3 linked regions of the Saccharomyces cerevisiae S288C genome follow. Changing the gene in region 3 together with the main gene of any one other region gives a genetic interaction. Each region holds a gene or a part of one and is shown on either strand. Other genes may lie near its edges.

The links.
Region 1: mutations in VMS1 (region 3) and PIB2 together harm fitness more than expected from each alone (negative genetic interaction), as found in Saccharomyces cerevisiae (2 studies listed by BioGRID).
Region 2: mutations in VMS1 (region 3) and ACO1 together harm fitness more than expected from each alone (negative genetic interaction), as found in Saccharomyces cerevisiae (2 studies listed by BioGRID).

What each region holds. Positions count from the first base shown.
Region 1 is NC_001139.9:449,697-453,991, reverse strand, and holds PIB2 (Pib2p), read left to right. Parts: upstream 1-1,887; coding exon 1,888-3,795; downstream 3,796-4,295. Other genes in the region: dolichyl-diphosphooligosaccharide--protein glycosyltransferase subunit STT3, read right to left, coding at 1-1,588; PGD1 (Pgd1p), read left to right, coding at 4,035-4,295. UniProt on the Saccharomyces cerevisiae protein: Functions as an intracellular glutamine sensor that directly activates the TORC1 signaling pathway, to promote cell growth when glutamine is available. May play a role in repressing NPR1 activity independently of TORC1 signaling.
Region 2 is NC_001144.5:734,712-739,348, reverse strand, and holds ACO1 (aconitate hydratase ACO1), read left to right. Parts: upstream 1-1,800; coding exon 1,801-4,137; downstream 4,138-4,637. Other genes in the region: 1-phosphatidylinositol 4-kinase STT4, read left to right, coding at 1-1,188. UniProt on the Saccharomyces cerevisiae protein: Catalyzes the isomerization of citrate to isocitrate via cis-aconitate, a step in the citric acid cycle.
Region 3 is NC_001136.10:550,694-557,428, forward strand, and holds VMS1 (Vms1p), read left to right. Parts: upstream 1-2,560; coding exon 2,561-4,459; downstream 4,460-6,735. Other genes in the region: uroporphyrinogen decarboxylase HEM12, read left to right, coding at 1,167-2,255; triose-phosphate isomerase TPI1, read right to left, coding at 5,033-5,779; acid phosphatase DET1, read right to left, coding at 6,363-6,735. UniProt on the Saccharomyces cerevisiae protein: Endonuclease that cleaves polypeptidyl-tRNAs downstream of the ribosome-associated quality control (RQC) pathway to release incompletely synthesized polypeptides for degradation.

The DNA.
Region 1 (4,295 bases), on a different chromosome or scaffold from region 3:
TTCTGTCTGCCATGCCACCAATTTGGTAACCGTAATCCCACCACGCTGCAACCTTACTGTCCTCATCAGAGTTCATTCTTAACCAATAGTACGCTTCCCTGAAGTCGTCGATCAACGCCAATTTACCATCTGGGGTTTGTGATGGCAAAACAACAGAAGGAGAAGAGTATGCAGTTCTTGTTACCCAAGTAGAATGGAAGACGAAAAGATACAAATAAAAGATGAATGATCCGGAAACAATCAATTTGGCCAGTAGTGCCGCAGGTTTGATGGCGTATTTGCGGTCACTTGTCTTGAAATCCAGGTAGATGTCAAATATCTTGGACAATGCGACGGCGGCGGACACACAGATGACTGGTGTCAAAGTCAACATCAATCTAACCATAACACCGGCAAAGTACGAACACAGAACGGAGTAAGCGATGACAAAAACGTGCTCGTCTTTCAAGTCGAGGAATAGTAGGAATACACCGGCGGGGAATAGCCAGATCAAAAAGTGGGTATCAAAGAAGAAAGCGGGCCACGAAACGGGTTGATGTTCGGAAACGGAGGCAATGATAGGAATGTGGATCTTTGCGTAGTTGGTATCCCATAACGAATAAAATCTACCAGTCCAAGGGGCAATCAACCCCATATAGGTCAAGGCAGAAAGTCCGACCACACCAAGGACCAAGATCAAAAACAGAGAAACCATCATGATGACTTTAAACTTAGCTGTGCTGATTTGGCCCTTCACGAAGTCACCGAAGGCGACAATCTGAATCAAACCGAAAACACCCAATGCGGCCATGTGGTCGTTAGACCTGATAGGTAGGAAACCGACAAATGGGATCTGCATGGATGCAACAGTTCCAATAGCGTACCAAGTGGTGTAGGCAGAATACAGTTTGGACGAATATCTGCCCATCAAAATCAGCAAAAAGACATGGAGTGGGATCAAGTTGGTGATGAACACGTATCCACCCCAAGCCGACACCATGTAGAAGTAGAATAAAGCTGCACACGTTGCGTGCATGATAGAGCCAGTCTTTTGGGCCTTAATCCAAAACATGAAAGTGACCATTAATAGTGTAATGGCAATGGCCTCATTATCGTAGGACCCCGCCACTGATCTAGATATATAACCGGGGACAATGGCTATAAAACCAGCAGCCAAAAGCCCAGCGCTGGCATCTTTAATCTCTTTCGTAAATTCGTAAGTCGCCCAGGCGGTGACCCCAGAAAATAGTGGCGCAAATAGCACACAAACGTTTCTGATGTCAATGGGCAAGCCCAACCAGTTGCGCAGGGCGTGCCAGATGAACGCACTAGTCGTCATCAAACCAGGATATAAAGTCCCTCCAGTAACCCTTCCGAGGGGGTACCAGGTACGGTCGTCAAACCAGTTCAAAAACTTGTAAAACGAATTGTTGACGAGATATTTGGTAGCCCTATAATTGAACCAGGGGTCGAATTCATGGATAATAGACTCAAATTTGATGACTGCAAACAAACGTGATGATATGGCAGCCCCAAAAATCGCCACGAAGATGACGAGCTTGAGGATGGTCTGAAACACAGACAAAACACACGACCGGTCGGATCCCATGGCAGCTGTGATAATGACGAATGGTAGTTAGGATTTACGGCTGTGAATGCGATTGCGGATGCTATGTCACGTTGAATTAGACCGTGCTTTTGCTGCTTTTCTTTCTTTCAGACTTGCTCTTTTGTTCGTGTCTTATTTTGTCAATTCTCGACCAGCGCGAAAAAGCAACCGTCGATGGTGACCATTTAGCAGAGGCGAAGAGAAGTAAAAGAAAGCTTATGATATGACTATTGAGACCTGGAATAGGTACGAAGCGCCAGTGAGGAGGACTGGGCAGCACAGTTGTAGTGGAGACCAGAATGACTGCGTTGCATAGTGTGTCCAAAACGCCCGCGATCAAGGAAGAGGAGGAGGACGGTGATGAGCGAGACGGCAGAGGAGTTCCCCTGGGACCAAGGAACCATGACTACCGTGGCAGGAAAGGTGATGAGGAAAGCGGTGCTGACACCGTGACATCTCCCATCACGTTTGAAAAGAAGAAGATAGCGCCCAGGGCGTCAACGCATTCCGAACAGAGTATTTTGAGCAGCATCTCATTGAAATCGATGGTAAATCAACATCGTCAGCAGCAGTTGCAGCAAGAGAGCTCAACAGGGGCAGGCACTGGGTTTGTTGACAGAAAGCAGCAGATCCAATCTCCGGCGATGGTGTCCATATTGAGGAAGAACTCTGCTGAGGAGAATGTTCGCAGCAGCCACAGTAGCAAGCTCGGTGAAGGGCAGATAGATGGTAGGAAGGCTTCTGCTAGTAAGGAGATCGGCAAGACGTTGCCATTCACGGATGACCAAAGATCGAACCCTGAACTAGATCCCACCAATAGCGTGGTGGATGTTAGCAGGGGCAAGAATACAAAGAGCAAAACTGTGTTCAATGAGTTAGAAGATGATGCCGATGACGATGACGAGGTTCGACAAAAGAATCTAACCACGCAGGCGTTACGCAAGTTGTCGTCGTTCAAAATGAATGCTAGTTCTAATTTGAGGTTGAGTAAAGAAAACAAGGCGAAAGAGTCTTCATCTTCGTCCACGTCTTCAGTGTCGTCATCGTCGACGTCGAAGGTGGAAAATATTGTCGACAAGCTGACTACAACGAATTCTAGCTCGATGTCCCAACTGCGGTTTGGCAACACGAACGTCATTATTGATTCGGTGAATCATGCGGCGAAACCGCCGCATCAGCAGATGCTAAGGAAACCCTCGCTGGAATTTTTACCGCAGCCTGCTTCGAGCACTAATCTGAATTTTAATTCCAATAAACATAAATCAAATGTAAGACAGATCAGTAACCCTAAAAAACCGCTATACATCCCCGCCGTGCTGAGGAAAGTTTCAGAGACAAACATAACTAATGACGATCTGTTGAATGCAACATTGTCGTCTTACTACAAGAAGGCATCTAACCTGGAACATGGCTTTAATCCAAGCAAGTCGCAATCCGCTAGCGTTCAGAATGCGAACAACCTACGGATCATATCTTCTCAATCCAGCGTACAATCCAACACATCGTCAATCTTGGAAAGCTACAAAAACAAAATATCCTCGTACTTGTTCCCGAATTCTATTCCGAACAGCGACAGAATCAACTTAATACCAACTATTTCAAACAGAAACTCTGCCAGAGTAAACCCGCCCACTAAGGACCACTGGATTCCGGACAGTAAGAGGAATTCTTGTCGTTACTGCCATAAGCCTTTTACCCTGTGGGAAAGGAAACATCATTGCAGGCATTGCGGGGACATCTTTTGTCAAGACCATTTGCGCCATTGGCTGTACCTGGACTCGCAGGCAAATTTTATAATGATCAACGAACTAAACAACGGTGGCATAAATGGCGGTGGCACTCTCTGTAAAATATGCGATGACTGTCTGGTCGAGTACGAGAACCTTTCAACCACGAACCATAACGCAAACACGAACGAGGATAACATAAACGTTGAGGAGGGCGAAGATGACGATAATGACAATAGGAAGAAATTACGCAATTACTACAAGAATAGGCAGATGAACGCTCTTTTCAGACCAAAGAAGGGCGGTTCGTCCCAAGAGCATGCCACGGTTGATCGAGACACAACAACGCCCATCCAGGTGAAGTCGAACGACGAAGAAGCAGATAATGAGAATACGGGGGGAGAACAAGAAGAAGGTAATGATGTTTTGGGCAGTGTTATCGGCTCTGTGCCTGCAAACTGGAATTGGAGTAGTTTCTGATGAACATTTTTTGCGAGACAAGCGAAGAGAGGATGTACACTATTGATGTATGACCATTATGTATACAATAAACTTAATATAATATGATATAATATAATATAATATATAACACTAACACTTTCCTGAGGATTTTCGGTATGGCGCCGAGCGAAATTTTAAAGAGAACAACAGAAACAGTCACCAAGACTTCTTCAATTAGGCAGCGCAAAACGGACACAACAGCAGTAAAGACAACCGGAATGGACTCGATTATACCGGCAGGCGTCAAGCTAGATGATTTACAAGTGATATTGGCTAAGAACGAGAATGAAACCAGGGACAAAGTGTGTAAGCAGATCAACGAAGCACGCGATGAAATTCTGCCGTTGCGATTGCAGTTCAATGAATTCATACAGATAATGGCAAACATAGACCAAGAAGGATCCAAGCAGGCTGACCGTATGGCCAAATACCTACATATCAGAGACAAGATTTTGCAACTGAACGATAGATTCCAGACT
Region 2 (4,637 bases), on a different chromosome or scaffold from region 3:
GCAAACTGCTACAAGGATGATGAAGGTATACAAGAAGATGAAATCAAACCAACTCTAGATCGTATTAGGGAGCGTATGGTTTCAAGTTTCAGCCAATCTCATCGCGATTTTTACGAACGTGAATTTGAATTCTTCGACGAAGTAACTGGCATATCTGGTAAGTTGAAACCATACATAAAAAAAAGTAAGGCTGAAAAGAAACATAAGATCGATGAAGAAATGAGCAAAATTGAGGTGAAACCTGATGTTTATTTACCTTCTAATCCTGACGGTGTAGTTATTGATATTGATCGGAAGAGTGGTAAGCCACTTCAATCTCACGCAAAGGCGCCTTTTATGGCGACCTTTAAAATAAAGAAAGACGTAAAAGATCCTTTGACAGGTAAAAACAAGGAAGTTGAAAAATGGCAAGCTGCTATCTTCAAAGTCGGTGATGACTGTAGGCAAGATGTTCTAGCGTTACAATTGATCTCGCTATTTAGAACCATTTGGTCTAGTATTGGCTTGGATGTCTACGTTTTTCCCTACAGAGTTACTGCGACGGCACCGGGTTGTGGTGTCATCGATGTGCTACCCAATTCGGTATCCCGTGATATGTTAGGACGTGAAGCTGTTAATGGATTATATGAATATTTCACTAGTAAATTTGGTAATGAATCTACTATCGAATTTCAAAACGCACGAAACAACTTTGTTAAATCCTTAGCGGGATATAGCGTAATTTCGTATTTGTTGCAATTCAAGGATAGACATAATGGTAACATTATGTACGATGATCAAGGACATTGTCTACATATCGATTTTGGGTTTATTTTTGATATTGTCCCAGGTGGTATCAAGTTTGAAGCAGTACCATTCAAGCTGACGAAAGAAATGGTTAAAGTGATGGGAGGTTCGCCCCAGACCCCAGCGTATCTGGACTTTGAAGAACTTTGTATCAAGGCATATCTAGCCGCCCGTCCGCACGTGGAGGCCATAATTGAGTGTGTAAATCCTATGTTAGGAAGCGGTCTCCCCTGCTTTAAGGGTCACAAGACAATTAGGAATCTAAGAGCAAGATTTCAACCTCAAAAAACCGATCACGAAGCTGCACTATATATGAAGGCGCTAATCCGTAAAAGTTATGAAAGTATATTCACTAAAGGTTATGATGAATTCCAAAGGCTCACAAATGGCATTCCGTACTGATATACTTCGCACTTTACATATGCTTATATAAAAATACCAGTTTCCCATCGTCAATTACGCAGACGTAGCCTTCGTTTATTTTCTCTCTTTTTGTATATCATTGTATTAATCATAATCCATTGTATTTTACTTTGTCTTATCTGGCTTTAATGAATGACGCCGGTCACACGCGGGTGCCTGATTCTCGATTGTGCCAAGCCATTTGGGCACGGTGTCAAATTACCTAAAAAATGGCCGAGAGCCGCAAAAGGGAGGTCCGCGGGGCCGGGCAATACCCTTTGTTTTTCGAGCATTTCGGCGCCGAAATCGGCAAAGGTCCTGACCAATCAATAGAGAAATTAGTGCATACGAGAAAAATTTGAACCCTTCAGTTGTTCTCCGCAGGCGACTTTAACCATCAAACCTCCAATCGCTGCCGGTTTTCGGAAAGGCAAGCACAAAAAGGGAGGACAAGGAAAATCTTTTGTTATATATATAATCTTCCGGTTTTAGAGGTTAATTAGGAGGAGTATGTTGCTTAATTCCGTTGTCCCTTGTTCTGTTCACTCTTTCTTAGTTATTACATAGTAGAACGAAGGTAATAAATACTACCATTATTACTATAGATATACAATGCTGTCTGCACGTTCTGCCATCAAGAGACCCATTGTTCGTGGTCTTGCGACAGTCTCCAACTTGACTAGAGATTCAAAAGTCAACCAAAACTTATTAGAAGATCATTCTTTTATTAACTACAAGCAGAATGTGGAAACGCTGGATATCGTAAGAAAAAGATTAAACAGGCCATTTACCTACGCGGAAAAGATTTTGTACGGTCACTTGGATGACCCTCATGGTCAAGATATTCAGAGAGGTGTTTCATACCTAAAATTAAGACCAGATCGTGTTGCCTGTCAAGATGCTACTGCTCAAATGGCTATTTTACAATTTATGTCCGCTGGTTTACCACAGGTTGCTAAGCCAGTCACTGTCCACTGTGACCATTTGATTCAAGCACAAGTTGGTGGTGAAAAAGATTTGAAGAGAGCTATAGATCTAAACAAGGAAGTTTATGATTTCTTGGCCTCTGCCACTGCGAAATATAACATGGGTTTCTGGAAGCCAGGTTCCGGTATCATTCACCAAATTGTTCTGGAAAACTACGCTTTCCCAGGTGCTTTGATCATTGGTACTGACTCCCATACACCAAATGCTGGTGGTTTAGGTCAATTGGCTATTGGTGTTGGTGGTGCTGATGCCGTTGATGTTATGGCAGGTCGTCCATGGGAATTGAAGGCTCCAAAGATCTTAGGTGTTAAGTTGACTGGTAAGATGAACGGTTGGACTTCTCCAAAGGATATTATTTTGAAATTGGCTGGTATCACAACTGTCAAAGGTGGTACTGGTAAAATTGTTGAATATTTCGGTGATGGTGTTGACACCTTCTCCGCTACTGGTATGGGTACCATTTGTAATATGGGTGCTGAAATCGGTGCTACCACATCTGTTTTCCCATTCAACAAATCTATGATTGAATATTTGGAAGCAACTGGTCGTGGTAAGATCGCTGACTTTGCTAAATTATACCACAAGGACCTATTATCTGCTGATAAGGATGCTGAATACGATGAGGTCGTCGAAATTGACTTGAACACTCTGGAACCATACATCAATGGGCCATTTACCCCCGATTTGGCTACTCCAGTTTCTAAGATGAAGGAAGTTGCTGTTGCTAATAACTGGCCATTGGATGTCAGAGTCGGTTTGATCGGTTCTTGTACCAATTCCTCTTATGAAGATATGTCTCGTTCAGCATCCATTGTCAAGGATGCTGCTGCTCATGGTTTGAAATCCAAGACCATTTTCACTGTTACTCCAGGTTCTGAACAAATCAGAGCCACTATTGAACGTGATGGCCAATTAGAAACCTTCAAAGAATTTGGTGGTATCGTTTTGGCAAACGCCTGTGGCCCATGTATTGGTCAATGGGATCGTAGAGATATCAAGAAAGGTGACAAGAATACTATCGTTTCCTCTTACAACAGAAATTTCACTTCTAGAAATGATGGTAACCCACAAACTCATGCTTTTGTTGCATCTCCAGAATTAGTAACTGCGTTCGCCATTGCGGGTGATTTGAGATTCAACCCTCTAACAGACAAATTAAAGGACAAGGATGGTAATGAGTTCATGTTGAAACCACCACATGGTGATGGTTTGCCTCAAAGAGGTTATGATGCTGGTGAGAACACTTACCAAGCTCCACCTGCAGACCGTAGCACCGTTGAAGTTAAAGTTTCTCCAACTTCAGACCGTCTACAACTGTTGAAACCATTCAAACCTTGGGATGGTAAGGATGCTAAAGACATGCCAATCTTGATTAAGGCCGTCGGTAAGACAACTACTGATCATATTTCTATGGCTGGTCCATGGTTGAAATACAGAGGTCATTTAGAAAACATTTCTAATAACTATATGATTGGTGCTATTAATGCTGAAAACAAGAAGGCTAACTGTGTTAAAAATGTATATACTGGTGAATACAAAGGTGTTCCAGACACTGCTAGAGATTACAGAGACCAAGGTATCAAGTGGGTTGTTATTGGTGATGAAAACTTTGGTGAAGGTTCCTCTCGTGAACACGCTGCTTTGGAACCAAGATTCTTGGGCGGTTTCGCTATCATCACAAAGTCTTTCGCTCGTATCCATGAAACTAACTTGAAAAAACAAGGTCTATTGCCATTGAACTTCAAGAACCCAGCTGACTATGACAAGATCAACCCTGATGACAGAATCGATATTCTGGGTCTAGCTGAATTGGCTCCAGGTAAGCCTGTAACAATGAGAGTTCATCCAAAGAATGGTAAGCCATGGGATGCTGTGTTGACCCATACTTTCAACGATGAGCAAATTGAATGGTTCAAATATGGTTCTGCCTTAAATAAAATTAAGGCCGATGAGAAGAAATAATGAAAACATTGTTATAATCTTTTAAAGGTTATTATTTATTTTGTCTTCTGTACACCGTACCCTTGTTTATCTTTTCTGCCTTAAATTTAATGACGTTCGGCTGGAGAAGTCAAGACTATGAAATATATCTCGTAATTTATGATCGTATATTATTTATTTATTGATTGTTTTATTGTTTATTTATTTATTTAAGTACCCCTATTGTACGTACATAAAAAAGCAAAACTTTTATATTATATTGTTGCTGATTATGTACTCAGTTTAACGAGGATTAAAAAAAAAAAAAAATTAAGTAATAAGTGCACCGTCTGTCAGACGGTCGAATTTAAAAATAAATGGTCTCTAGCGGGATCGAACCGCTGATCCCCGCGTTATTAGCACGGTGCCTTAACCAACTGGGCCAAGAGACCAAACTTTGTTGAATGTTGAGCAAGTTAACATCTTATAGGACATATTAAACTATGACGACATTGTTGCAAATAAAACACTATTGATTGCTT
Region 3 (6,735 bases):
AAACGCAAGAACAAACTACATACTGCCACTGAAATGAATTTCACTGCTAATATATCTATCCTTTAGCGAAAAAGACAAGATCAACAGAGGCGCCAGAAAAAGGCAATTATGACTAAAAAAAAAACTGTGTAAACCTGGGGATGGTAGCTGAACTACTTGCAGTCGAAAATGACCGCATATTTTACTGTCATGCTTCTGTCAAGAAAAACGAGCCTTGGATGAGAGCTTTCGTTGATCGCGGCTCGAAGTTCAGGTAGAGAAATATAGCAGAGCTCTTTTCGCGGAGCCGCATGCACGGCTACATTAAAAGGTGTCCTTCCAGCTCAGCGATATGTGTCGGCCGGAAAAAAAAAGCACGCATCCGGCAAGCACACTAGTAAGTCTAATGCAGGATGAAGAAACGAAGAAGGTGCCATGAGAAGGAAAATAAAACTCAATGGGACGGAACGGCAGCATTTTTTAACAAATTATTTTGGATTCATCCGTAACAATATAACTTGGTACGGGAACGGCATGTTTTAAATGCACAGCGGTGCCTTGTTTCGCCGTGGATTGTTAAAGGCTCTTTTTCGGACGCCACATATTCCTATGCTGCACCAGCAATTGGTGTCTTCGGATCATACTACTTCGCACTAGTTTATATTCAAGGCTTTTAATGGAGCTTCGCTCTTAAAAGAAAAAACTTCTTTACTTCCATGCGCGCGTTTTTGGCGTACGTAGCACTGCGAAAGAGTGGGTGATATATAGAGAACATGTTGTAGTATACGTACGCGGGCAATTGTGGTGACAGTATCTCTTTCTGTTAGCAAGTAATATATCCTTGGCCTCAACCTGTCAATAGTGTTAGTTTATCCGCCATCTTGGCGCTATCATACACGATCTTTTTCAATGTTTCTCGTATATACAGGACAGGGTTCGGGGTTTTTGGCGGCAGGAGAGGAAAGCAAAAAAAAATGAGGCAAGAGTTTTAATTTTGCCAGCGAAATGTTCTGCCATTTTCATCTTTACCGCTCGAATTAGTGATGTTCCAGACGAAGGTAACATAGAGTGATCGATAGGTTCTTCAATTCATCAAGCATTATCTCAGAATTGTGTTTGGTAAGCTCTCTTCGAGAAAAGGAAGAACAAAAAAAAAAAAAATAAAGCAAAGAACAGGTTATAACGCTATGGGTAACTTTCCAGCTCCAAAAAACGATTTGATATTGAGAGCCGCAAAGGGTGAAAAAGTCGAGAGACCGCCATGCTGGATAATGCGCCAGGCAGGTCGTTACCTGCCGGAATATCACGAGGTGAAAAACAATCGTGATTTCTTTCAAACTTGCAGGGATGCGGAAATTGCTTCTGAGATTACTATCCAGCCGGTAAGACGCTATAGAGGCCTCATTGATGCTGCTATTATTTTTAGTGATATCTTAGTTATTCCGCAAGCCATGGGTATGAGGGTCGAGATGCTCGAAGGTAAAGGTCCACATTTCCCAGAACCTTTAAGAAATCCGGAAGACCTCCAAACGGTATTAGACTACAAGGTTGATGTTTTGAAAGAGTTAGATTGGGCTTTCAAGGCAATCACCATGACAAGGATCAAGTTGGATGGTGAGGTTCCCTTATTTGGCTTTTGCGGGGGACCTTGGACTCTAATGGTTTATATGACGGAAGGCGGTGGATCCCGTCTTTTCAGATTTGCCAAACAATGGATTAACATGTATCCAGAGCTTTCTCACAAATTATTACAAAAAATCACTGATGTGGCCGTGGAGTTTCTGAGTCAGCAAGTCGTGGCGGGTGCTCAAATACTACAAGTTTTTGAAAGTTGGGGTGGTGAGCTTTCGTCTGTAGATTTTGATGAGTTTTCCCTACCATATTTAAGACAAATTGCCGAAAGAGTGCCTAAAAGATTGCAAGAATTAGGTATCATGGAACAGATTCCTATGATCGTTTTTGCGAAAGGGTCGTGGTATGCTTTGGACAAGCTATGCTGTTCAGGATTTGACGTTGTTTCGTTGGACTGGTCCTGGGACCCAAGAGAAGCGGTAAAAATAAACAAGAACCGTGTCACCTTGCAGGGCAACCTGGATCCTGGCGTCATGTATGGTTCTAAAGAGGTAATAACAAAGAAAGTTAAACAGATGATTGAGGCTTTTGGAGGTGGGAAGTCCCGCTACATTGTTAATTTCGGTCACGGTACCCACCCTTTCATGGATCCAGACGTCATCAAGTTTTTCTTGGAGGAGTGCCACAGAATTGGTTCGAAGTAATGTGGAAATATTGATTCTTATAGTGTTATAAGTGATAATATACGTTTATGTAAATAATATCTTTTTCACAACGTTCAAAAGTGGCCTTTTTTCTTTTTTCGATATTCTGTATATTTATTACGATTTTTTTTTTTTTCAGATATTTATTTTTGCAGGTTCTCTGAATGGATGTAGTGACAAAATCTTAAATAGAAGAAAATAAAAGATGAAGGTATATGAAAATAAATGAGAATGCATATCACCTTTCCTTCGAAGAAAAAGGATTTTCAAAAGATCTGCACGCCTGTTGACAAGCTTCCAATAGCATGAATTCACAAAAGGCGAGTAAAATGACTGGCTCACTAAAAAAGAATGATCTTTATATTTTTGATTTGTCTGAGCAACTTCTGAATTCATTGAAATTGATGAGCTTTGACTCCACACTGCGAGAAGTTGAAGTAGAGAAGACATCTGATAATGATAGAAACAAGGAGTCTGGAGATCTCCAAATAGCAAGAAAGAAGGTCACATCAAATGTTATGCGTTGTAGTGTTTGTCAAATGAGCTTTGATTCCAGAAATGAACAAAAGGCCCACTACCAGACTGATTATCATTTGATGAATGTTAAGCGTAACCTTAGGGGGCTGGATATCCTATCCGTTGAGGAATTCGATGCGCTGATTTCTAAGGAGCATGGTATCAAGTCTGAAGACGAAAATTCTGGCGGCGAGCAAACTTCAAGCGATCACGAAGAAAGTGAGGAAGCCAGCGATCGGGACCCGGACCTACAAACTAATAATTATATGGAAACTATAATCGAAAATGATTTGCAGAAATTAGGGTTCCAAAAAGACGAGTCGGATGCTATTAGCCATATTAATACCCAATCGCCCTACATTTATTTCAAATCGAAGTATCTTCAAAAGAATGAGGTCTTGGCGATTTATAAGTCTCTATTTAATAAAAGGAGTCTTTCCAACCCCAATGAAGCTTTGACTTTTTGGAATTCGCAAGAGAACCCAATGGCCATTTCAGCTCTGTTTATGGTGGGAGGTGGACATTTTGCGGGAGCAATTGTTTCTCATCAAAGACTCAATGTCAAGGGGAACGCGCACAAGAAGGACGAAACCTTAATTGAGCAAGCGGTCAATTTCTTAGAGCACAAGACGTTTCACAGGTATACTACCAGAAGGAAGCAAGGTGGTTCTCAGTCAGCAATGGACAATGCAAAGGGAAAAGCTAACTCTGCCGGTTCAGCACTTCGTAGGTACAATGAAAGCGCTTTAAAAACAGATATACAGGGTGTGTTGAAGGACTGGGAACCTTATCTGTCAAAGTGTGATAATATTTTTATTCGAGCTCGCAATGTCAGTGATAAAAAAATTTTTACTGATAATACCGTTCTGAACAAGGGTGATGAAAGGATAAAGAGCTTCCCTTTTACCACGAACAGGCCCACTGTATTAGAATTGAAGAAGGCATGGTGCGAACTTTCCTACCTGAAAATATTACCTAAGCCTGAACCATTGGCAGTGAAAGAAACAGTACAAAAGTTAGAAGTGTCGAACAAAAAGGACGAATTTAAAGAAAAACAAGAACCGTTACTGGAAGAAATCCAAACAGAAGAAATAATTTCTCTGCTGAAGAAAGGAAGGGCACCGTTATTGATATCCTTCTTAAAAAAGAATAAGCTTGATGGAAACTTTCGGTTAAAGCCTGAGAGTAAATATTCCTTAACCCCTACCATGTTACATTATGCATCGCAGCAAGGGATGAAACAGATGGCACTGATTTTGCTCTCAAATATTAAATGCGATCCAACGATCAAGAACAGACTAGGAAGGACTGCGTGGGATTTGAATAGAAACGACGACGTGAGACACGCGTTTCAAATTGCAAGATACAATCTTGGAGAGTCTTTCACTAATTGGGACGAAACTCATATCGGTCAGCCATTGAGCAGAGAACAAGTTGATGAAATCAATGAAAAGAAAAAAGCAATAGAGAATGAAAAGGCAGAAAAACTGATTAAATTGGAATTAGAAGCCGCCAAGGAAAAACAAAGATTTGCTAAAGATGCAGAGAGGGGTCCAGGCAAAAAGTTAACCAATATTCCTTCAATTCAGCAACAAAATTTGAATTCTTTGACCGATGAACAGAGACGCAGATTGATGAGAGAACAAAGGGCTAGAGCCGCAGAAGAAAGGATGAAAAAGAAATACTGAGGAATATCTCATATTCAAATTTTTAGGATTTTTCTTAGCATTTGCATATATTTTCATAGACACAGTACTTACATTTAATAACAGTAATTGAAAAGCAATATTAAAATATAGAAGCCCAAATTTTATATTTCAAATGAATAAATGTTGTTTTTTTTGGCAATTTTTTGCTCTTCTATATAACAGTTGAAATTTGGATAAGAACATCTTCTCAACGCGAAAATGACGCCTCCAGTGAAAAAACATAAACTTTCAATGCAGTCTTCGGTACACTTATGAGTAACCCATATAGAGATCGTACACATTTTACAAGGATTTAGAGACAAAGTAATATTCTTCGTTGATATAGAGGTGTTCAATTGTTAAATGCTTTTCTTCTTTTTATTAGAAAAAGCGCCTTGCTTTTTGTTGTATCACTTGTAAATCTACCGTCCCTTACAAGAACATTCACGAAATTTAAGTGGCTCAGAATGAAAAAGAAACAATATAAAAAAGCTTTCCGTAGTCATCAATTTATTTTACATAACACTAGATATAAAGAAAAGAAGATAATATTTTTATATAATTATATTAATCTTAGTTTCTAGAGTTGATGATATCAACAAATTCTGGCTTCAAAGAAGCACCACCGACCAAGAAACCATCGACATCAGCCTTGTCCTTGAAGGTAACGGCGTTGCTACCGTTAGCGGAACCACCGTATAAGATTCTCAATTCGCTGGCAGCCTTGTCACCCAACTTGGAAGCCAAGAACTTTCTGATGGAAGCGTGAATATCTTGAGCATCTTCTGGAGTAGCAGCCAAACCGGTACCAATGGCCCAGACTGGTTCGTAAGCGACAACGACGTTAGTCCAGTCCTTAACTTCTTCCAAGACAGCGTTCAATTGTCTTTCAACAACATCCAAAGTCTTACCGGCCTTCTTTTCTTCCAAAGTTTCACCGATACACAAGATGACACCGACACCTTGACCTAAAGCGAACTTGGTCTTGTCAGCAATGAACTTGTCATCTTCGTGGAAGTAAGATCTTCTTTCGGAGTGACCCAAAATAACCCACTTAGCACCAACATCCTTGATTTGGTCAACGGAGTTTTCACCGGTGAAAGCACCAGAAGCCTTCAAGTAGGCGTTTTGAGCACCGACAGTGACTTGTGGCTTCTTAACCAAAGAGACAGAGTAGTCTAAGTAGGTAGCTGGAGGACAGATAACAACTTCGACATTTTCTGGGATAGAAGCAGTGTTCAATCTTTCAACAATTTCCTTAATGGATTGTTTGGAACCGTTTAATTTAAAGTTACCACCGACAAAGAAAGTTCTAGCCATTTTTAGTTTATGTATGTGTTTTTTGTAGTTATAGATTTAAGCAAGAAAAGAATACAAACAAAAAATTGAAAAAGATTGATTTAGAATTAAAAAGAAAAATATTTACGTAAGAAGGGAAAATAGTAAATGTTGCAAGTTCACTAAACTCCTAAATTATGCTGCCCTTTATATTCCCTGTTACAGCAGCCGAGCCAAAGGTATATAGGCTCCTTTGCATTAGCATGCGTAACAAACCACCTGTCAGTTTCAACCGAGGTGGTATCCGAGAGAATTGTGTGATTGCTTTAATTAATTTCGGAGAATCTCACATGCCACTGAAGATTAAAAACTGGATGCCAGAAAAGGGGTGTCCAGGTGTAACATCAATAGAGGAAGCTGAAAAGTCTTAGAACGGGTAATCTTCCACCAACCTGATGGGTTCCTAGATATAATCTCGAAGGGAATAAGTAGGGTGATACCGCAGAAGTGTCTGAATGTATTAAGGTCCTCACAGTTTAAATCCCGCTCACACTAACGTAGGATTATTATAACTCAAAAAAATGGCATTATTCTAAGTAAGTTAAATATCCGTAATCTTTAAACACTATGTAGTTAGGTCTCCCTCACAATCAGTCCATTTGGGTAGCACGGTCCTCAGGACGTATCTATTGATGGATTCGTCCAGTTCCATCACCATTACGCTCCCGTTAGGAACATTGGTAAACGATTCAAACTCTTCGTATGTCCATCTAAACCATTTCATCAGGAATACTCTGGAATAAATACCATGTGTAACTAGGACAACAACATCTCTGGGTCTTCTCTCTTGCCTATCATGGAAGTGCCTGAATAAAGTCTCTTGGAAACTGGCGACTCTGTCATATACATCTGCCGCACTTTCTCCATGAGGGAATCTGAAGAAGAAATGACCATACGTAGATCTCTTCTTCATAACGTCCTGCATGCTATTGATTTTT